Arabidopsis thaliana: one gene and its partners. The protein of the gene in region 1 interacts with the protein of each later gene in a pairwise test. Each region holds a gene or a part of one and is shown in the gene's direction. Other genes may lie near its edges.

Region 1 (4,722 bases):
TTGAAGAATAAATATGGTATTGGATCAACTTCAAATTTTGAAACATGATAGGAAATTAAGTTGAGTCTCACTAATTTTTCTTAATATCTGACCATATATTTAAAATTAGTTACCAAAACCTTGGCAGTAAATTTTTAGTTAGATATGATAAAAGATACTATTGTTTTGATTAAAAAAAGGTAGAGATGATGAGATTTCTATGTTGAATTCAAAACAATAAAATAAATATTAGCTAAGATATCACGAAGTGATAAAGATGAATCTTTGATTAAATCACATTAAAAGTTGAAAAACGATATCATAAGAGATTTTGTGTTCTCTATATGTAACGCTATCTGGCAACATTCTTTCTGCTTTCCAATAAGGTTCATGAAGAATGGGTAACACAATTTCGAATGCAACAACGTTATCATACGGTGAAACGACATGCTCAAATCCAACTTCTACGATTGCGAGCAGTTTCACGGAACATCCTCGCCTTCTTGCTATTCTGTCAAGATTGAGAATCTCGCACAACTTAACAATGAAAAATACCAATCTCGTCGTTTCACGGTAGGCGGGTATTACTGGTATGTAGCTATAATCTTGCTCTTATATATTACCATTTATGTTTTATGAGACATGTAACACATATAGACCATGATTTTACTATGTACACATTAGCTCCTGAAGGGTTAAATTAAATCTTCATCATAAGAAAAGAACATGAATCTTTCTTACTTTATGCAATAATATTTCTGTTAAAAAGAAAACCTGCAGGAAATTGATTATATATCCAAAAGGGAACGACGAGGACCATGGAAGTGGTTATATTTCAATGTACGTAGAAATAGACAGCACATCTGAAGTTTTTGCATATGTCAAGTTCTTCGTCTACAATAAGAAAGAACAAATGTACTTTACTATTCAAAGTTGTTGGTTTAAAACATATCTATATTATTCAATATTTATATTAACTATATAAGACTTGTTCATTTGTCACATATGTCACGTTGAATTACTCCATTTTTTCTAATAGATACTGAAGTAAAGCGTTTCAATGCTTTAAGAATGGTATGGGGATTCTCTCAAATGCTTCCTCTCCACTTATTCGAAAATCCAAAAAATGGATATATATTCGACGGGCAAAAATGCGAGTTTGGTGTTGAAGTGATGGTTGTTCCACCCCTTACCAATTGGGAAGTGATGTCTTTTGATCAGAAACTCTCACCATCCACATTCTCCTGGAGTGCCAATGGTTTCTCCTTATTGACAGAGAATCTTTATGTGTCAAACAACTTTTCAGTTGGAGGAAGAGAATGGTGAGGCTAATAAGTCATTGAATATATATACACGTCTATGTATGCTAAGTGTATACAAAATAATGTGACTTTTCTATAGGTGTTTGAAGATGTATCCAAAGGGAAGAGAGGCAGATGGCAAATGGTTGTCCTTATTTCTGCATATATATAGCTGATAGTGAAACCTTTTCGGAGGATGAGAAGATTTACGTGCATGCAGATCTCCGAGTATTATACCCACGTCCACATGTATACAACAATCACGTCACACAGAAACGTATAATTAACTTTGAAACACAATTTTCTATATTCTTGAATAAATCACTTAGTTGCTTTTTTCAAGTCTTAACTAAATTTTCAATACCTTACATATATTTATTTTTCTTGCAGTTAACGTCTGTTACAAGAAATCAACTCAAGGGTGGGGTTGCGAAGATTTTGCGGCTATAGCCATCGGGAGTGTAATTACTTGGACAATGACACTTTGACATTGGAGGTCGAATTTAAAGTTGTTTCTACAACCAAGTATTCTCACCCATGATCTAAGCTCTTCTTGTAGAATATCTACAATATTCCATATTCTACTACAAGTCTAGTAATCTACAATGCCTTGTTTCATACGATTTCTAGTAATTAGTTCCTTTTTAGTTAAATCAATTCTACAGTTTATGGTTCCGGATTCATTTCCTGCTAACTAATTATATCATTTTTTATAACTAGTAATCATTGAAGCTTATAATTGAAATCTATAACTACAAAGCCTAGTGCACTTACGTCCAGAAAGCCAAAATAATTAGGCTTCCTATTAACACATATATTTATATGTTTCTTAAGAACTTTTACGAAATTACCTGCATGTAGTTAAAATAATAAAATCTAAACTAATTGTGAGCACAACAATAATCCGCCACGTCTTCTAAACCTCTTCCATTCAAAACTCTTCACTATCCGCCACGTGTCCCCTTCTTCACACTCTTTTTATCTTCCTCCACCTCTAAAACTTTCTCACCACATTTTCCCGAGAAAACAAAAAAAAAAAACTTACACCAAAACGATGTCTGGAGGTGTCGGTCCAACGTACAACGACATAACCTTACCCAAAGAAGAAGAAGAAGAACATCAAACCCAATCCACCTCAACAGTATCATCCACCGGAAAACCCGCCGGATTCTTCTCATTCCGACAACTAAACATCCTCGCAATAATCATCGTTCTCTCCGCAAGTGGTCTCGTAACAATCCAAGATTTCATATTCACGATCCTCACTCTCATCTACTTCTTCTTCCTCTCGAAACTTATCTTCCCACCACACAACAATCCAAACCGTGACGCTCCTCTCACAAGCTCCACAAACAAAATCTTCCGTATCTATGTTACAGCGGCGGGGATCGTCGGGCTTATCATTCCGATCTGTTACATCTTCGAAGGAATCGTTGAGGATGATAAGAACGGTGTTAGCGCAGCTGCACCGCACGTGTTTCTTTTAGCGAGTCAGATTTTTATGGAAGGATTAGCGACCATGTTTGGCTTCTCTGCTCCGGCGAGGATTCTTGTTCCGATTGTTTACAACGCCAGGAGGGTTTTGACTCTTGTGGAGTGGATTATGAGTGAGTTCTCGAGGGAGGATGTGACGGGGACGGTTTCTGCGCGGCGGATGTATGCCGGGAAAGTTTTGGCGGCGGCTAATTTAGGGATTTGGTCGTTTAATCTCTTTGGTGTTTTGATTCCGGTTTATCTACCCAGAGCGTTTAAGAGGTATTACGGTTCTGATAAGGAGGATTGAAATCCCGGTTTAGTTCCGGTTCCAATAAGGAGAGTCAAAACCCGGTTTAATTCCTTTGTGGTTCACAGCTCTTGTTGTTTTCCCTTTTTGTTCTGTATATTATTTCGATGTTTTCTTTTGAACAATTCAGTTTATGTAGTAGTTCACAGTTGTATTAGATTTCTTACGATAATAACCGAATCTATGTTTCTGAAAGAACAGAAATGAAAATGTTTTAGTAATGATATAGAATAAGACCATTCACGATCTCAGTTCAAACAATATATTTGTATGAAACAGTAAAACAAGAAATAAACAATTTATATCAATGTAACAAGATTAGATGTAGGAGCTGATCCAAGAATATTCCAAAGTTTCCAACTACATGAGTACAGAAGTTAACTGCAAATCAAAGCTTTAAGCTTATTTATTCAGTGTGTATAAGTTGTTAGAACCCAAATCTCTTACCTTTTTTCACGATCCATGTTCAAGGTTTGTTACTTATAGGGTTTTATATCTCTGTCTTTGGTAATGAGGAAGAAGAAGAAGAGATGTCATTTTAATTTGGTTAGCTGACTCCAGATCGTAACCCCGGGAAGAAACTCCAGCTGTTTCCTGCAACCTTCTCGATATTCTCGTCTTTCGTGTTGTCGAATTTAAATTCTTTGCTAGATCCAATCGATGAGGAACTCAGCTTCTGAATTCTATGCTGTTCGTTCTCTCTGTCTCCTGACCTTTTCTCTATGTTTCTTCTTATGTCTGTTGATGAACTCTCCTCTGTTTCGATCCGGTCATTGTTGTTCATTCTGTCGTGTGATCGATTTAGCTTGCTTGCAAGACAACGTGCAACGTCTTCACCTGTTAACTCAAACGAAACTCTGTGATCTGCTACCATGACTTCAGAGCCATGATCCGAATTTGCCAGTGAAGCGACCTCAGAGATCTGATTTTGAAGAGGCCATGTGGTATTGTTGGGTGTTAAGTTTCCAGATACTATCTCTGGACCATTTGGTGTCAGAGCGCCTGAAGCCAAACCTGAACCATGCCCAACAGGTGTGATCGATCCAGAACCGAACCTCGATCCCCATTTACGAGCTGTAAAGTGCTCAAAACCCAAGAACTTTGGAGGCTCGCCTATTCGAAACTCAACCATGGGTGATTTACCAGGGTAAGGAGAAGATGTACCAGAGTTTGAAATCACTGACCCGGGAGAGATTAGATTACCACCACCAGGACTCCCCGGACACACCTGATTAGACCGAAACTCATAGTGCGAAGACGAAAACTTTTGATTCATCCCACTAGTACTATCCCTCCGAGTTAGCTCCAACGAAGAAGTAAGCAACTGAGCAAAGGGCACTTCAGGTGAAGAAGGTGTAGTTATATGGACTGATGATTCAGGAGGTGGAGTATACGGTGCAGTAGATGGCTCAGTTATAAACGCAGAGAACACCGGAGGAGTGACTGGTTGAGTTTCATTAGCATAAGGTCCAACGGTAAAGACAGATTGAGGCTCCTTAGGCGAGAATGTATTGCTAGTAAGAGAAAGTGGACCAACAGGCGAGTGAGAAACCGATGAAGGATCCGATTGCAAAAACGAAGCTGGAGATGAAGGAGGAGCTATAAAGGGAAGAACAACAGTAGTTGAAGTAGCTGAGTTTTGAACAGTAACTACCGGAA
Region 2 (6,185 bases), on another chromosome or scaffold:
ATAAGGAAAATCCGAAAATGGATAGACTTGTATATCCACAATTCCACATTATATCATAATATGTACTGTATATTATGGCTCTTCTATTCGCTGAGAGGACGAAGGTCAAATATGTAGAATGTAGAAGTATCCTCATATTGACCTGTCTAACTAGATTAATATTATAGTATGCATGCTTGCCATCTGTTAATTAAAATACAGACATTGTGAAAAAATACACTCCATGCTCTCTATCTTTCTATCGTTTGTAAAATGATATTTTGTTGATCAAAACTACTATGGTCTACAAGATCGTGTAAAACAACATTCAAGTAACTTAGTATTATGGGAAGATGAGTTCTCTCGATCGAGATGTTCAGTCAATTCTCTAGAGTATAAAAAACGAAAACGTCTCAAGTCAATTGTCAATCATTAATTTCCAAATATAAATATTAGACATTATCAACAAATGATGATAAAGAGATACAAAAAACATTGTGAAGATGTGGGATATGAGGATAAACATAGAGAGATAGGATGATATATTCACACGTGTTTCCCACTTCCTCATCCAACTTGTCGCGGCGCCTCGTCGCCGTTTCTTTCTTCTCTCTTTGGTTTTTTTTTCTAAAACATTTTCTCTATCAAGCGTTTATGTTTCAACAAATTTTATTTAAGCTAATGTTTTTTCTTATAACCAAATCAAAATTTTATTCATCGATATAGAAATTAATGGTTTTTTGCTAATATTGAAATCTAATTTTAAAGTATATATTAAAAAGTTTTTGTTAAAAAAAAATGAGGATACTCATGTTGGAGAGGGAGAGCAAACGGATTCTTGATGTTTTTACGATCGATTAAAGTGAAGACGTTTTAGTGGACATGATATATTTCTTTGGTATGACATATTTTAAAAGTCACCTCTAAGAATTCAATTTTTTCTAGATATTATCGTCATTCGTCAACATTATATCGTATGATGTTAACAAAATTAATGGTTGGTAGAGTACTCGTCATTTAGAATTAGGGCTAATGAATTGATCGTTCATAATGTCTTGTCGAGGGCAAAAACGACGTAACGTGACAAAACGTATTAACCTTTGTTTCTTTTTCTTTTTTTTTTGTTATTTCAGAATTCATGAACCAGAGAATTTCATTAATCCACTAGCTAATCTTGAAATTATTCTATTGCCTTTTGAAAAAGTTGTAAAGTATAATTTGAAGGTTGCAAAATTTTAATTTTGGTTTTTAGTGTTTGAGAAACAAATCAAAACTGCAACATTATATACAGAACTATCTTCCCTTTTTTTTTTAACTAACTTGAAATTTATGCAAAACAGTTCACCAAGGTGTCATTAAAAGATGTCATTAAATTCGAAAGTCGGTTCATGAAAGATGTCGTCATCATCGTAACATGATGCCACCACGCAGTCAGCACTAAGCAGGCTATTTGGCTTTGGCACCTTCATTCAAAAATAAAATAAATTTTAAATTCCTGGTTCAGTAAAAATGTGGACCGTTGTTTTGGGGGCAGCCAATCGCACGAATATGGTGGCTACGCCACAAAGTTACAAATGTACAACTTTGTCGGGCTTTTCCAGATTCATTAACATCAATAGGCAAGTAAACTACAAAATGCAAGTTGCTTAATCAATAATGTTGTAAAGCTTTTACAGCATCTTTTATACCATAAAATGTCAACATCATGGAGTTTACTCCAATTAAGTTCTCGTACACTTTGATTTGAATAATCAGTACAAAACATAACCAAACCGGATTAGATGTGGTTTTAACTATTGCATACATTTTCGGCCAATGGATTAGGATTACTGAAAGAACATTAAAAACATATATGTATGACGACGAAAACAATTTCTTAGGGCTTAGGTTATATATATTTCGCAGAAATGTATACCAAAATGTTGGAGAATCGTGAAAAAGAATATACCTAATAAACCGTACTAAAAAGGCTGAACATCTGAGATTCAGCAGAGCATCAAAAGATAAAAGAGAATATGCTCATTAATCATAGGTCGACTGTTTTCTCCACCCTCCAACTTTAATTTTTGAAATCTCTTGTTTTTATGTGCCCTTGATAATTATTAATCACCTTAACATTAACAACTTGTTAATGCTTGTTAATCCAAAAGTAAAGCAATCAAAGAACTATATTATAAGATTAATAATGTAATGATTCGAAACATTACAATAAAGTATAACGTAACAAGCTTAGATATGGTGGGTAAAATATACGAAGTAAAATAAATGGTCCCAAGTATATGAATGAATACATGTATTTACAGATATCTCTCTCCCCTATCTCCTTATGATTTGTCATTTTCCTCACCCATAATCCTATAAAATAATCAAGAACCTCCGAGGGAGAGAGACATACACACAGACAGAGTAAGACATATATAACATATATAGAGAGAGAAGACCTAAACAAAGAGACATATGGTGTCTTTAGGTTACTGCTTGAAGGAGAAGAAGACATGCGTGAGATGGGTAGAGATATACTTCGATGACTGTCTCTGTAACTTAAACGACGACGTTTCATTCGCACTTGGAATCGCTAGCCTCCTCTGTTGGGGAGTCGCAGAGATTCCTCAGGTCATCACTAACTTCCGTACAAAGTCAAGTAACGGTGTCTCTCTCTCCTTCCTCCTCGCTTGGGTCGCCGGGTCCGTACACCATCTCAAGTTCTTCTTTGTTATCATAATCTCTCTCTTTCCCTAACGTTATTTTATATGAATTTTATCAATCGGTGCAGTGATATCTTCAATCTCGTCGGTTGTCTTCTTGAACCAGCTACTGTAAGATACACAAAACATCTATAGTACATAATTATTTTCATGTCTTATTATTGTTTTCTCATTGTTTATCTTATTTTGAATTGTGTAGTTGCCGACTCAGTTCTACACAGCCTTGGTAACATCACCGTCTTCTCGCCGCATAAATAAACATATGTCGCTACAAAGCTTACGTGTCGCTTCTATTAAAATTAGCGTCAATTGTTCGGATTTATTTATTTTATTCGACCGCTTTATTTTATTCTATTTACAAATCAGCCCCGTAACTATTTTTTTTTCCTCTCTCTATAGCTTTACACAGTGAGCACTGTAGTATTGGTGATCCAGACTATTTACTACGATTACATCTACAAACTTTGTAGACATAGACGTACCAAGATTTGTCAAAAGGTAATAATTATAAGAGTTGATTACATTTTTAGGTGTTGATTATCATAATGAGGGTTTTTTTTTTTTGTTAAGGATGAGGAAGATGAAGAGAAGAGACCATTGAAACCACCAAAGACGATGGGATCTGCTATTTCCATCCCAGGAGGATCTTACAAAGATTCTTCTCGGAGAGAGTTCTATTACACGTACGGATTATTAAACATAAATCATATTTTATTTACTCTAATTTGTCTACAAATAAGTTAAAGTTTGTGACAAAAGCTTCGTATATTTTATTATTATATGCTTTCCCCTGCATACTCTGTTTTTTCTTGTCGTTTTCTCAAGCTTTTGAAGAAACAGAGGGAAAGGGTAACGATTTTTTTCATAAAATAATTACATAATTGCTGATAAAATCTCGAACCTATCCTTTAGCTTTCTCAATTTTCTTATATCATAGAATATATATGTCCGCTCTCTATATTCAATTGTGACAACTGACAAGTGGTTTTGCGGGGGGCTATTTGTTCAGGTCGGCGAGATCGTTGGCCGGAAGTGGCACACCTCCCTTAAGAACATCGTATTTTCGAGTGGCTAAGAGTGGCCCTTCGGCTCTGGCAATCGACAATGATGGTTCGTCATCGGACGAAGATGAGACAATGTCGACGTGTCCTGTCATAACGGCTAAAACCATTACAAAACCAAGGCCAATACCTAGACAGGTTTGTAATTTCTTTTTAACTTAGCCAACTTAAAATCACTTTAAGCTAAGAGAACAAATATTGACCCATTTTGGACTTCTTTTTCTCAGGCAGGTTTTGGAACGTTTTTGGCTGCATCGGCTAGTCTTCCGCTTCAGGCAAAGAGCTTAGCGGAAAAATATGCACATGCTTCAAGCAGACGGCTTCTAAACGTGTGTGACACATATAGCATTTTGTTGTTTTAAAGGTATGAGTGAAATGCGAGAAAATGATATCAAAACATTGTTGTCTTTGTGCAGGAAAGAATAGTAGAGCATAGCGCGTTGGGACAATGGTTGGGATGGCTAATGGCCGCCATTTACATGGGCGGTCGCATTCCTCAGATTTGGCTCAACGTAAGCCATCTTTAGCAAATCTTGATTTACTTCTTCTTGGCTTCTTGTTTATGATATTGGATACTAATCTTTTTTTTTTTTTTCTCTACAACTAGATCAAAAGAGGAAGCGTCGAGGTAAAAAAAAACTAAAACTACAAGTCAACCAACAGATATTCCCTTATGTATACTTTAAATGTTATTGTGGTATGCGATCTAACAAACAGTATGTTTTGATATTTGGCAGGGTTTGAATCCACTGATGTTCATCTTCGCGCTAGTAGCCAATGCAACATATGTTGGTAGTATTCTTGTCCGAACAACTGAATGGGACAACATCAAACCAAACCTTCCTTGGTTGCTTGATGCTATTGTCTGCGTCGTACTAGATCTATTTGTATCCTTTTCTAACCATTTGCACAGTCTCAACGTGGAAAACAAGTTATCTTATTGCCATTAGGTTGAGCTTTGCTACCTTAATTCGAAAAATCAAAACAGATAATACTGCAGTATATCTACTACAAGTATTGCAGGATAAAGAGCTTGGAAAGCAGAGAAGAAGACGCCTATGGAGACTATGTGGAAGCAAGCAAAACTTTTGTTTCGTGAATCACTATTTATGTTACAAGGATAATTTGATTTTCTTTTGATCTTAAGTATTATTGATTTCATAGTGTATGCATATAAAACCTAATTATTATATGTTCACTAAAACTGCTTTCTGTTTCCTCAAAATCTATACGCAACAAAAGCAGCATTTTCCTTCCACACAAAAACCTGGTCACCAAGATTCTCCTTGGGTGTGATCCTTATAGGAGGAGTCCAAGATTAGTTTTCTGCAGCTCCTACACACTCATGAGCAGCTGAAGCATCATGCATGCTGCTATAGCAGTTGAGGATGCACAAGCATAGAGAGGCTTAGCTTCTAGAAGGGTCAAGATACGTTGGTTTTACCTGTTATGTTGGTAACGAGTCATTAATGAGAATTCAGCATCAAATTCCACCACATACCTCTTAAAAGAAAGAGGCTCTAACTGTTATGTTGTTACTGTTAAATGATTAATTGCCTACTATATGCTTATATCCCACAATCTGATTCGTTGAGTAATATGCAATACAAATAAATATTGGAATGAATATATCACAAATGGACAGAAGCAGAAAATAAGACATCAACGCTATATGAGTTTGAGAGAGGATCAAGTTTGAAGACAACATTGGACCACTCAATCTTCCCCCAAATCTCACCTCCCTCGCGCCTCTCCATGGAAATCTCGGCAGACCAAAGCTCCACACACTCAGGGTCTCCAATATGTGCGTTCCCGAAGATGACAATGTTCCCAGCAGAGTTACTAGAGATTTTTCTAATATCATATTTGACGTTGGTCTTTGACGGTCGTTTATCAGAGGTACGTCTGAAGATGTATCTTGTACCAGAGAGATACAATTGTAGCTGTTCCAAACCTTTTACCTCTTTCCAGTCCAACTCATCTGGTTGGCACCATAGTATTCTACCGCGAGTAGCACGACAGTATAGTAATTTCCCAATGACACACCAATCGTGTCTACTTCCTACCTTAGAATCTTTTTTTCCGCTTTTCCAGATTCTACCTTCACTTGGCAAGAAGCTAAAGCTTTGGTCCTCCTCATCCACGGCGTAAACCTTCTTCTCCTCTATCACCACACTTTGGTTGATACTATGGGCCATCTTCGGCGTATTAAATATACCCCAAGTTTGGTAAACTGGATCGAATACCTCCGCCCAGTTTGAGGAATCAGCGTCCTCTGGGCACCCTCCAAAAACGTAGATCTTCCCGTCTATGAGGCTTGCCGATGCGGAAGCACGAGCCATCTTCATAGACGGGACGCGGTGCCATGTCTGAGAAAAACAGTTGAGGAACAAGACATCGGAAGTGGGATTGCCGTTTATGATTCCACCGATTACATAAC
Region 3 (5,422 bases), on another chromosome or scaffold:
ATAATCATGTTGGGATTAACATTAATGGTTTGACATCTGTTGCCTCTGCTTCTGCTGGTTACTATGATGATGAAGATGGAAACTTCAAAAAGCTTTCTTTGATCAGCACAAAGGTAATGAGGCTTTCCATCGTTTATAGTCACACCGATAAACAGCTCAATGTTACTTTATTACCTGCTGAAATCTCTGTTCCGCCACAAAAATCGCTCTTGTCTTTGAACCGAGATCTCTCGCCCTATTTTTTGGAGGAGACGTACTTGGGTTTCACGGCATCGACCGGGTCGATCGGAGCACTCTATTATGTGATGCAATTTTCCTATGAAGAAGGAGTTATATATCCAGCATGGGACCTTGGCGTAATCCCAACCCTTCCTCCATATCCAAAGAAGTCGTATGATAGAACACGGAGGATTTTAGCGGTCTGCTTAACGTTGGCCGTGTTCACTGCATTAGTCGCTTCCGGAATAGGTTTTGTCTTTTATGTGAGGCATAAGAAGGTTAAGGAGGTTCTTGAAGAATGGGAGATTCAGAATGGACCTCATAGGTTTTCTTATAAGGAGCTTTTCAATGCCACAAAGGGTTTCAAAGAGAAACAACTTCTTGGGAAAGGAGGCTTTGGTCAAGTCTACAAAGGAATGCTTCCGGGTTCCGATGCAGAGATCGCTGTAAAACGGACTTCTCATGATTCAAGACAAGGGATGAGCGAATTTCTAGCCGAGATATCGACCATTGGTCGTCTCAGACATCCAAATCTAGTCAGGCTTTTGGGATATTGTAAGCATAAAGAGAATCTCTACTTAGTTTATGACTTTATGCCTAATGGAAGCCTTGACAGGTGTCTAACCCGTAGCAACACGAATGAAAATCAAGAACGGCTTACTTGGGAACAACGTTTCAAGATCATCAAAGACGTTGCAACTGCTCTACTACACCTGCATCAAGAATGGGTACAAGTCATCGTTCATCGAGATATAAAACCGGCTAATGTTCTACTCGACCACGGCATGAATGCGAGGCTCGGGGATTTCGGATTGGCGAAGCTGTATGATCAGGGATTTGATCCTCAGACATCTAGAGTAGCGGGAACATTAGGTTATATTGCACCTGAGCTCTTAAGAACAGGAAGAGCAACCACAAGCACAGATGTTTACGCCTTTGGGTTGGTTATGCTTGAAGTCGTTTGTGGTAGAAGATTGATTGAGAGACGTGCAGCAGAAAATGAAGCGGTTCTTGTTGATTGGATTTTAGAGCTTTGGGAAAGTGGGAAACTTTTCGATGCAGCTGAGGAAAGTATTCGTCAAGAACAAAACAGAGGAGAAATTGAGCTTGTTTTGAAGCTAGGTCTGTTGTGTGCACATCACACTGAATTGATTAGACCGAACATGAGTGCGGTTTTGCAGATCTTGAATGGCGTTTCGCATCTTCCCAATAATCTTCTTGATGTTGTTAGGGCTGAGAGATTGAGAGGAATTCCTGAGACATCAATGGAAGTACTACTTGGTCTTGATCTGAATTCTTTTGGTACAATGACGTTGACGAATTCTTTTGTGTCCCATGGACGCTGAAACCATAAAAATAAGTTAGTTTTGATCAAACATTTATATTCCATCGGGAGCTTCTGTATCCGTCTATTTGATAAATGAGTACATGTTTCTGTATCTTTGAATCATGAATGCCTTCCAATTCATCCCTAAATTTCTAGGGTTTACTTTTAGGGTTATAATATGTTTGTTTCATTCTTGCTTTCAAAGTAATCTTGTTCGAATTTGTTTATAAAACCAAATTTTCAAGAGCAATGACTTATAACTTAATTAACTTTTTTTTTTCTGTAGACCAATACAAAATCTGTTAAACTTTACATTAAAACATGTCAAAAAACTTATTTTTTTTACATTTTATGGTCAACACGTTGGTTGTTAAACTTACATTGTTTATCCATTTCTACGCTCCGTAATGTTCGACGGATTAGGTTGTAGAAAAGATAAGAGAAGCTTTTTTGACCTTTTTATTTCTTTGGTAGAGATCTGAGAAGAAAAGTTTTTTTGATTATTGCTTATTATGCTTTCCACTATAATCGCTATTTAATCTTAGCAAGAATTAGAAGATTTGTTTTCTTATAATTGATTTACGACTTTATCTTGGCCATGCACAGTGCGTAATTACTAAATAGTGTACATGTGTTTTTTCTCTCTTAAGTTTGCTTACTTATCTTAGTTCGTTGGCCGCATATAACATGAATATTCATTAGATAAATAATTAACAGCAATAGGTAAACAGCAACAATAACAATAGTTTAAGTCCTAAGACTAATCAACACATTAATGGAACGATAAGAAGAGATTCAAGAGAATAATTAACAATAATGTTTTGTAAAAAGAAGAAAAAAAATACAAAAAGCAAATAGGATGTCATAATCTCATAACCAATATAGCAAAATTTCAGTAGTAAAATAGGTTTGCAAACCTAACATGGGTCCGCTTCTACACTCTGACAATCCCACAATAATTGCTATTATTAATTGAAAAATGATCAGAAGATTATTTGTTTATTGTGTTGCGGTTTGATCATCTAGGCCATGTGGGTAATTAAATACAAACTACATATGTTTATGACATGACCAGTTTCGTTCACATTATATTGGCTTGATCATATTCATACAGTTTTACTTATTTTTATGTTGTATCTTCTTACATAATTCTTCTGATAAATATCACATTACGATCAAAACCTTCCCATAAGCCAAAAAAAAAAAACGAACAAGAACATGTTTAGTGAAGTCAAAGTCTTACAAATAGTTCTTGTTCAGTGGCTTACTCTGTTTTCATTTACTTACAACTCCCATGGCACATATATCCTGGATGGATCTGCAGTTTTCAACGAAAATAGTTACTTGGTTTTAACGAACACCACGAAGCATTCCTACGGTCAAGCTTTTGACAACACAACATTTGAAATGAAGGACCAGTCTTTCTCCATCAACTTCTTCTTCGCTATTGTCCCTGAGCATAAGCAGCAAGGCTCTCACGGTATGACTTTCGCTTTTTCTCCTACAAGAGGCCTTCCCGGAGCTTCCTCCGATCAGTACCTCGGATTATTCAACAAAACAAACAACGGTAAAACTTCGAATCACGTGATAGCTATAGAGTTAGATATACATAAAGACGAAGAGTTTGAAGATATTGATGATAACCATGTTGGGATTAACATTAATGGCTTGAGATCTGTTGCCTCTGCTTCTGCTGGTTACTATGATGATAATGATGGAAGTTTCAAAAATCTTTCTTTGATCAGCGGAAAGTTAATGCGGCTTTCGATCGTTTATAGTCATCCGGATACAAAGCTCGATGTTACCTTATGCCCTGCTGAGTTTCTTGTTCCGCCACGCAAACCACTTTTGTCATTAAACCGAGATCTCTCGCAGTATGTTTTGAAACACATGCATATTGGCTTCACAGCATCTACGGGATCCATTAGAGCGCTCCATTATATGGTGCTGGTGTACACATATCCTGAAGCAGTCTATCAACCGTTGGAGTTCGGAAGAGTCCCCACCCTTCCTCCATATCCGAAGAAACCGTCTGACAGATTAAGGACGGTTTTGGCGGTCTGCTTAACGCTGGCCTTGTTTGCTGTGTTTCTCGCCTCAGGAATCGGTTTCGTCTTCTATTTGAGGCATAAGAAGGTTAAGGAGGTTCTTGAGGAATGGGAGATTCAATGTGGACCTCATAGGTTTTCTTATAAGGAGCTTTTCAATGCCACAAAGGGTTTCAAAGAGAAACAACTTCTTGGGAAAGGAGGCTTTGGTCAAGTCTACAAAGGAACACTTCCGGGTTCCGATGCAGAGATCGCTGTCAAACGGACTTCTCATGATTCAAGACAGGGGATGAGCGAGTTTCTAGCCGAGATATCGACCATTGGTCGTCTCAGACATCCAAATCTAGTCAGGCTTTTGGGATATTGTAAGCATAAAGAGAATCTCTACTTAGTTTATGATTTTATGCCTAATGGAAGCCTTGACAAGTATTTAAACCGTAGCAACACGAATGAGAATCAAGAACGGCTCACTTGGGAACAACGTTTCAAGATCATCAAAGACGTTGCATCTGCTCTACTCCACCTGCATCAAGAATGGGTTCAAGTCATCATTCATAGAGATATCAAACCGGCTAATGTTCTAATCGACCACGACATGAATGCGAGGCTCGGGGATTTCGGACTGGCGAAGCTGTATGATCAGGGATTTGATCCTCAGACATCGAGAGTTGCAGGAACATTCGGGTATATCGCACCAGAGTTTCTAAGAACAGGAAGAGCTGTTAGAGTAAAATTCTTTTAGAGGTAATGGAGAAAGTGTTTAAGTGTTTTGAGAGAGTTTTTTAGGAAATAGAACTTTTATTACTTTGCTTTAAACTTGAATACAACTTCACAACATTACAACATTTGAGAGGGGGAGGAGGTATTTATAGCCTCCAAACTACAAAATATCTAAAATATTTTAATCCTAAGTCTAGAGAGTTCTTACATAAGATCTAGATTACATTATTCAAATTATCTAGATTATTCTATTAGAGTATCTAGATTTTTATGTTTAAGGAGGTGGAAGATGATTCTAGAAAATTTCTAGAATCCTTTAAGGAGGTGGAAATGATGATATTTCTAGAGAAAACTCTAGAACTTGGATTTGGCCATAATTAATTATTGGATAATTGATCCAATAATTAAACTTGATTCAAAATCAAGTTTAACTTTCAACACCCCCTCTTAAACTTGATTTTGCTACTCCAAGCAAACTCCTCATCTTGATAAAGTCTTCACGCTTGAGAGGCTTGGTAAAAATATCGGCTACTTGATCATGTGTCTTCACATACTCTAATTGCACGTCCTTCTTGCTAACACACTCTCTAATGTAGTGATAGCGTGTGTCAATGTGTTTACTTCGATCATGGAAGACCGGGTTCTTCGCCAAAGCTATTGCCGACTTGTTGTCCACAAAGATCTTCGTTGGTTCCTCTTGTGGTAAGCTTAACTCTTTCAAGAGGTTTCTTAACCAAATAGCATGGCATACAACAAGCTTGTAATCACTAGTAGTTGAATAATGTAAGCCAAAGTTTACGGTACCTTTGATATAGCGAAGAATCCTTTTTGCCGCTTTGAAATGAGTTGTTGTTGGATGCTCCATGTAACGACTAACAACTCCGACCGCATATAAAATATCGGGCCTTGTGCATGTTAAGTATCTCAAGCTTCCAACCAAGCTCTTAAAGGTTAGTTGGATCCACTCCTTCCCCTTCTTCTTTCTTTGATAGTTTGATTCCGCATTCCATTGGTGTACAAACGGGATTTGAGTCATCCATCTTGAACTTCTTAAGTACCTCCTTAGCATAGCCTTCTTGAGTTATGAATATTCCATTGTCTTCTTGTT
Region 4 (6,078 bases), on another chromosome or scaffold:
CTTTTATGTGGAGTTCACACGGCAAGAAGCTCTTGACTATATAGCACAAAGGGAGGAAAGAACTCAAAAGTAAGAGAAATCTTTGCTTTTCTAGTTTTCTTGCTCCATGTACAAGGAAAATATGGTTGTATCATTGTATATGATGAATGAGTTCTCCGGTGGAATGCAGTATAGTGACTGAATGTTGATGCAATATAAATGTGGTTTTTTTTGTTTTTAACAGACAACTAGAAGAGTATACTGGTGTTATTACGCAGATCAAAGGGCGCATCAAACTGGTAAGTTCAAGTTCTTATCTTGCTTTGTGATAGTAGTCAATCATTTGTCTTATGAGGTTGAATTGGACTAGAAAATCACTATTGCGTAGGAACCCTGCATCAGACGGATATATGAAAGTGTCATCGGATAAGTATTAATGTTAAATTACCATTGCAGGCTCATTACCAGATTCAGCAAATACTCAATCTTCCTGAAGAGAATCCGTCATCCCGGCAACGTGCGTTTTAGTACACTACCTAGTGGAAAGTTGAGGATTTTCTCTTGCAGTCTTATCTTCTCGATTTGTTCTGCTTACTGTTTTGAGTTTTTAAAGCAGAGAATTAACTTAGTTTGTTCAATACTAACTCTTTCTCCGGAATGGACCAAACTGTTGGTGTTAGATAAACATATCGATTAAGCAATCAAAACTTTATAGAATGACTATTGTTGTGGGGGTGAATAGTGAATCGCACTCTGTTAAATCTGCCATTTCTATTTTAAATATTAATAATCACATGTTAGAACTTAGAAGATCATTAACAGTTTAACACAGCTGATGAAGAATGAAATAAAAGTATGAACGAAACAGATACAAGATAATGATATTCCACGTCAGCAAAGTGTCCAAATATCTTCCGCTTCCCTGTCTTCGTCGGTCCCTTTTCGGTTTTCACGGTAAGGCTCGGAGGAAAACCTAATTCGTCCGGAGAATCTCCACCTCACTCTCGCCAAACGCATCTCTGTTGTAGGTAAGTCACGGATCTTCATTCTACGCTAATTGTTATTGTTATCGTTATTCTTGATCTGGGCGTTTTTGTGGAATTTGCATCTAAAATTAGAAATTTGGATACCAAAATCCACTCCAATTGAATAAGGTTTCTGAAGAATTTTCGTTTGATTTTGAGATCGAAAATTGCGTTTTCTCGTTTTTGTTTTGTTATCGCTAACGCATCAGGTCATATATCTCAAGTTTATATTTTGTGGCAGCTTGTGATGGATCCAACACAGAACACAAGTGCAGGGATTGGTGGGAGCAATGGTACAATCAGATATCAAACCAATGATGGGACTTCAACTGTGACCGTTGCTGATGATTCAAAGGAGAATCTTTCCCAAGTCATAAACTCTATTGAGAAAACTTTAGGAGTCCTTCATCAGTTACACCTTACCGTCACTTCTTTCACACCCGCGTCTCAACTCCATCTCCTCCAGCGCCTGTAAGTAACTCCTCTACTCATCTGTGTTTATTGTTTTGGGTATTGTAACTATTGTTTGAATGAATATGTGTGTGTGTGTGTATTTGCAGTAACTCTCTTGTGATGGAGCTAGATAACATGACTAAGTTGTCTGAGAAATGCAACATTCAAATCCCCATGGAGGTTCTTAAGTGAGAAAACAAGTCCTTTTTGTTTTTAGTATGCACTTTGAAGATAGATACTTTTACTTGCTTACTTATGTTTGCGTTTTCGTATAGCTTGATTGATGATGGGAAGAACCCGGATGAGTTTACGAAAGATGTTCTTAATAGCTGCATAGCTAGAAATCAAGTTACTAAGGGCAAGACTGATGCTTTTAAGGTGACTCCTTTTCTTCTGATTCTTAATTTGTGTATGATTCTTAAGGTTACTGAGTCTCTTAATCAACATTTTGTTATAAATAGGATTTGAGAAAACATATTCTGGAGGAGCTTGAACAGAATTTCCCTGATGAAGTCGATATGTATAGAGAAATCCGTGCTAGTTCTGCTGCTGTAAGTTGTTAACTTCGACTAGTATTGTACATCTTCATTAATATATTATAGTAAGTCAAGGGGATTAAACAGTTTTGGTCATATTCAGGAAGCGAAACGGTTGGCGCAATCGCAAAGTGTGTTACCAAATGGGGATGCAAAGGTCAAGAATGAGCTATAAGAGCCCAAAGGATCCTTTTTATGTTTACCTTGTACTCTTGTAGAATATAATGACTGAGTCGATGAATGTGATGTAACACGAACAATCCCAAGTGGAATTTCTAATAATATCTGTTGGTTCTCTTCACCTGGCTAATATAGTTTGAGAATCTCTGCTTGTTCCCCCCATTTTTACTCGAGTGGACTATCTTACTCTTAGCCTCTGAGATCTCTTTGATTTCATGAGACTATCAAAGAATCCCACATAGTTACGCAAAACAGATTCGACTTCTATCAATGGATTTGTCTATTTCCTGGACGAGTAATCTTGGTTCTGCATAAAATGTACACTATTTCCGAGAGCTGAAAAAGTGAGAAAAGACACTTAGATTTCAATCTTAATTAACGGTTTGATTCGGTTTGGTTTGTCTCACCTACATTTGCATCGATTGCAGCATGGGGGACTTAATACGCAGTGGCTGACACGTGTCAATATAAAACGCACCGCTTTGTTTGATTGTTCCTCCTTGTCCCCGAGCAGAGAAATACAAAGGAAGAAGAAGAAGAGTTGTTTGATTATCTTTAAGCAAAGAGGAAACTGTTTTGCTTCTAGATCCGATCCAATCCAATCAAACAAAGGATCCGATTGATCAGAAAAAATCCACCAAATTTCTCAAGATCGAAACATATAATTGAAGATGAGCGACGTATTTGAAGGGTACGAGCGTCAATACTGCGAGCTCTCAACCAATCTCTCTAGAAAATGTCACTCTGCATCGGTTCTCTCCAACGGAGGTAAAATCCAGACGCTCCCGATTTCGGATCTTGAACGCGAGATCTTCGAATTTACCTGATTTTAGAAATTCGAATCTTCGAATTTGGGGTTATTGGAGCTTTTGAGCTGTGACAAGTAGCTGGTGGACTAGTGTTCTTTACTAATCGTCCTGACTTGTTTAGGATCTGACGAAGTTTTGTAACATTTAGGAATGTTGAGACATAGGATCTGTTTCTCATTGCTTGGATTAGAAGACGATAACCTAGTTAGGTCTAGATAGTTATGTAGTTGCATAGATTTATTAACTTGTTTCTCAATCTATTTCATCTAATTTTGTCCGAATTTGGGGGTATTTGTAAAGTAGAGGTGCATGAGTGTTTACTAATCGTTTTAGCTTGTTTACGATCTGACGAGTTCTGTAGTATCTGGGAATGTAATTTACTTGGATTGGTCAAGTAGTTTTGTGAAGAAATTAAGACTGAAGATAAGATCATAAGAACCTAGTTATGTAGCTGCAGAGGTTTATTGAGTTGGTGTTTTTTTTCATTTGTTTGTCAGTCTATGGTTACCACTGTCTTTCTTGGAGTTATAGTACATAGACATGCATGGAGTTGTTACATTTTGTGGTGCCATAGAACCAGAGTAGAGGTTTGATTAGATATTGTTGTGTGCTTTTATAGAGGAGAAGAAGGGGAAGATTGCTGAGATCAAGTCTGGAATAGACGAAGCTGATGTCTTGGTATTTGCATTTAACTTGCTTTAATGTTGTTACCGTTCTGTTCTTTCTTTTTTAAAATTAATATATATGCTTCTGTGGTTTTTTTGTAGATCCGGAAAATGGATCTTGAGGCAAGAAGTTTGCAGCCGAGTGCTAAAGCTGTGTGTCTTTCTAAACTAAGAGAGTATAAATCTGATCTGAACCAATTGAAGAAGGAATTCAAACGAGTCTCTTCCGCAGATGCTAAGCCGTCTTCCCGTGAAGAGTTGATGGAATCCGGAATGGCGGATCTGCATGCAGTAAGCTTCTAACTCCTAAATAGAAACTCTTGTTTTCTCATTATCTTAGTTGTCTTAATTGACTTGCATCAGTTAGGCTTCTTTGTCCTGAGGGGACCCTCCTTTATATTCATCTTCACACAAACTTTTAGATGGCAAAGACTTTGCTGTGATTTACATTATTGTCCATGTTCCAGGTATCTGCTGATCAAAGAGGAAGATTGGCAATGTCCGTGGAGAGGCTTGACCAATCAAGTGACAGAATCAGGGAGAGTAGAAGACTAATGCTGGAGACAGAAGAGGTTGGCATCTCAATTGTCCAAGATTTGAGTCAGCAACGCCAAACCCTCCTTCATGCGCACAACAAGGTACCGTCTACAATTGCTCGGTTTGGTATCTATCAGTGCCAATGATTTGTTTGAATTAGATCATTGAGAAGCTAACTTTTCTGATTTTGAATCACAGCTTCATGGTGTGGATGACGCCATTGACAAGAGCAAGAAGGTGTTGACGGCTATGTCAAGGAGAATGACTAGGAACAAATGGATCATTACATCGGTAATCGTGGCTCTCGTTCTCGCCATCATCTTGATCATCTCATACAAGCTTTCTCATTAATATACTCAAAAAACATTATTCATCGTGATTGTGTATATATATATGATGGTTGATTTACTTTGTAATGGCCCAAGTGGTTACTTGTATTTTTAAGTACGATGTTTGTATTGAAGTGGCAACACTTTTAACATTCATAAGGTTTCCCAAGTCTTTTCTTTTTTGTCTTTTTTTCCAAAAAAGTGGTACTATTTTATATAAAGCAGATGTTTCAAAAGTTACAACTGTGGAAACTTCCACTTACATCTCAAGTCCAACCTTTGAAAACTTACAACAATGTAATTCCAAAAAGAACAAACACTCCATTGCTCAAAACATAAGGTTTTCCAAGTCTTTACATGAGCCAAAGATCTATACTTATAATGTTTTAAGAAAACTAGGACACCTGACACATCCTTGCCGGACCAATCATCTTGCCGTGATCACCAGTCGCAGGCAGGAGACCCACTGTCACGTCAGAGCATGAAACAAAGGCCTCTCCTTCTATCTCTCTATTTAAAATAACATCAAACATTCACGACACCAAAAAATACACACAAGCCAAACATAACAAGTAAAACTATCCCCGAAACAAATAGTTTTATGCAGTCCCGGCCCGTCCATAACGCAGCTAGAGCATGTGTTTCTGTCGTGAATTATGTTTTCTATGATCTCAGCCCCTGTTATGTTTTAAACCACACGTTCTGGTCTTCAAACTCGTTAACCCATTCCACCCTATAAATCCCTTCTTCGTAAGCAGGGATAGATTGACGAGTGATTGAAAATAATCTTTAATGATCAAGAATTTCCTCCCATTCGCCGGAAATAATTCACTTAACCACCAAATGAAAGAGTTTTGAGATTAATTAATCTACTCTTTAAAATTTTAGGCATATACACTTGATTGATGTGATGACAAAATGATTTGAGTACTAATCAAGTACAATCACTACAAAAAAAATGTGTGTTTTTACATCATTTATTTTATATATTTTTATTAGTTATAAACTTATAATTGATGGCAAGAAAAACATTTACATCACTAAAAAAAGTGACTTTTGAAAGTAGTGATGCAAATATTTTGTATCGATTCTTGTAAATCGATCTTAACATATATCAATTACAAAAAATAATGTTAAAATTCGCATCATTTAATTTAAATGATGTTAATATTTGTAACATATATAATAATTTATGCATGCCAATATTTCTATTACTTGTAAACAATTGATGTTAAATTAGTTATCAGTTTTCATAATTGATTCAAATAATTGTGTGATTTGAAATAATTAATTTCTACATTAATTTAAAACATTGTAATTTCATAATTAATTTGTAGATACTAGTGCATTGAAAAGAAGCGAAAAAAGACGTCAGCAGTCTATAAGATGGATTAGCTTCATCTCCAAGGCATATAAACCCATTCGTGTCAATCACAAGTCACACCTTACAATTTCAAAAAAAGTTTCTGAAACTTGGTCTTTTGTGCTATCATTTTGATTCTTGTGCTAAGATTCTTCACGAAGATCAACAACTCTAAAAAGAAGAGGAAAGATAACTTTAATGG

Evidence for each region.
Region 2: the proteins of AT5G52420 (region 1) and AT4G36850 interact in a protein complementation assay, tested with the Arabidopsis thaliana proteins (one large-scale study listed by BioGRID).
Region 3: the proteins of AT5G52420 (region 1) and AT3G59730 interact in a protein complementation assay, tested with the Arabidopsis thaliana proteins (one large-scale study listed by BioGRID).
Region 4: the proteins of AT5G52420 (region 1) and VTI1B interact in a protein complementation assay, tested with the Arabidopsis thaliana proteins (one large-scale study listed by BioGRID).

The regions. Positions count from the first base shown.
Region 1 is NC_003076.8:21,279,483-21,284,204, forward strand, and holds AT5G52420 (uncharacterized protein), read left to right. Parts: upstream 1-2,290; 5' UTR 2,291-2,334; coding exon 2,335-3,063; 3' UTR 3,064-3,324; downstream 3,325-4,722. Other genes in the region: AT5G52430 (hydroxyproline-rich glycoprotein family protein), read right to left, coding at 3,611-4,722.
Region 2 is NC_003075.7:17,352,074-17,358,258, reverse strand, and holds AT4G36850 (PQ-loop repeat family protein / transmembrane family protein), read left to right. Parts: upstream 1-2,221; 5' UTR 2,222-2,436; coding exon 2,437-2,663; intron 2,664-2,752; coding exon 2,753-2,795; intron 2,796-2,883; coding exon 2,884-2,910; intron 2,911-3,083; coding exon 3,084-3,182; intron 3,183-3,254; coding exon 3,255-3,367; intron 3,368-3,693; coding exon 3,694-3,883; intron 3,884-3,972; coding exon 3,973-4,074; intron 4,075-4,161; coding exon 4,162-4,257; intron 4,258-4,352; coding exon 4,353-4,373; coding exon of another isoform or gene 4,374-4,388; exon of another isoform or gene 4,389-4,482; coding exon 4,483-4,632; coding exon of another isoform or gene 4,633-4,695; exon of another isoform or gene 4,696-4,733; coding exon 4,734-4,844; 3' UTR 4,845-4,968; downstream 4,969-6,185. Other genes in the region: AT4G36840 (Galactose oxidase/kelch repeat superfamily protein), read right to left, coding at 5,377-6,093.
Region 3 is NC_003074.8:22,063,222-22,068,643, reverse strand, and holds AT3G59730 (Concanavalin A-like lectin protein kinase family protein), read left to right. Parts: upstream 1-2,686; 5' UTR 2,687-2,764; coding exon 2,765-4,336; downstream 4,337-5,422. Other genes in the region: AT3G59740 (Concanavalin A-like lectin protein kinase family protein), read left to right, coding at 1-1,565.
Region 4 is NC_003070.9:9,213,259-9,219,336, forward strand, and holds VTI1B (Vesicle transport v-SNARE family protein), read left to right. Parts: upstream 1-2,511; 5' UTR 2,512-2,844; coding exon 2,845-2,941; intron 2,942-3,601; coding exon 3,602-3,660; intron 3,661-3,749; coding exon 3,750-3,938; intron 3,939-4,114; coding exon 4,115-4,285; intron 4,286-4,382; coding exon 4,383-4,535; 3' UTR 4,536-4,752; downstream 4,753-6,078. Other genes in the region: AT1G26660 (Prefoldin chaperone subunit family protein), read left to right, coding at 1-69, 224-278, 436-507; AT1G26665 (Mediator complex, subunit Med10), read left to right, coding at 1,252-1,475, 1,565-1,645, 1,733-1,835, 1,919-2,008, 2,097-2,168. UniProt on the Arabidopsis thaliana protein: Together with either SYP41 or SYP61, required for membrane fusion; the fusion of phospholipid vesicles containing SYP41 or SYP61 and VTI12 is triggered by YKT61 and YKT62.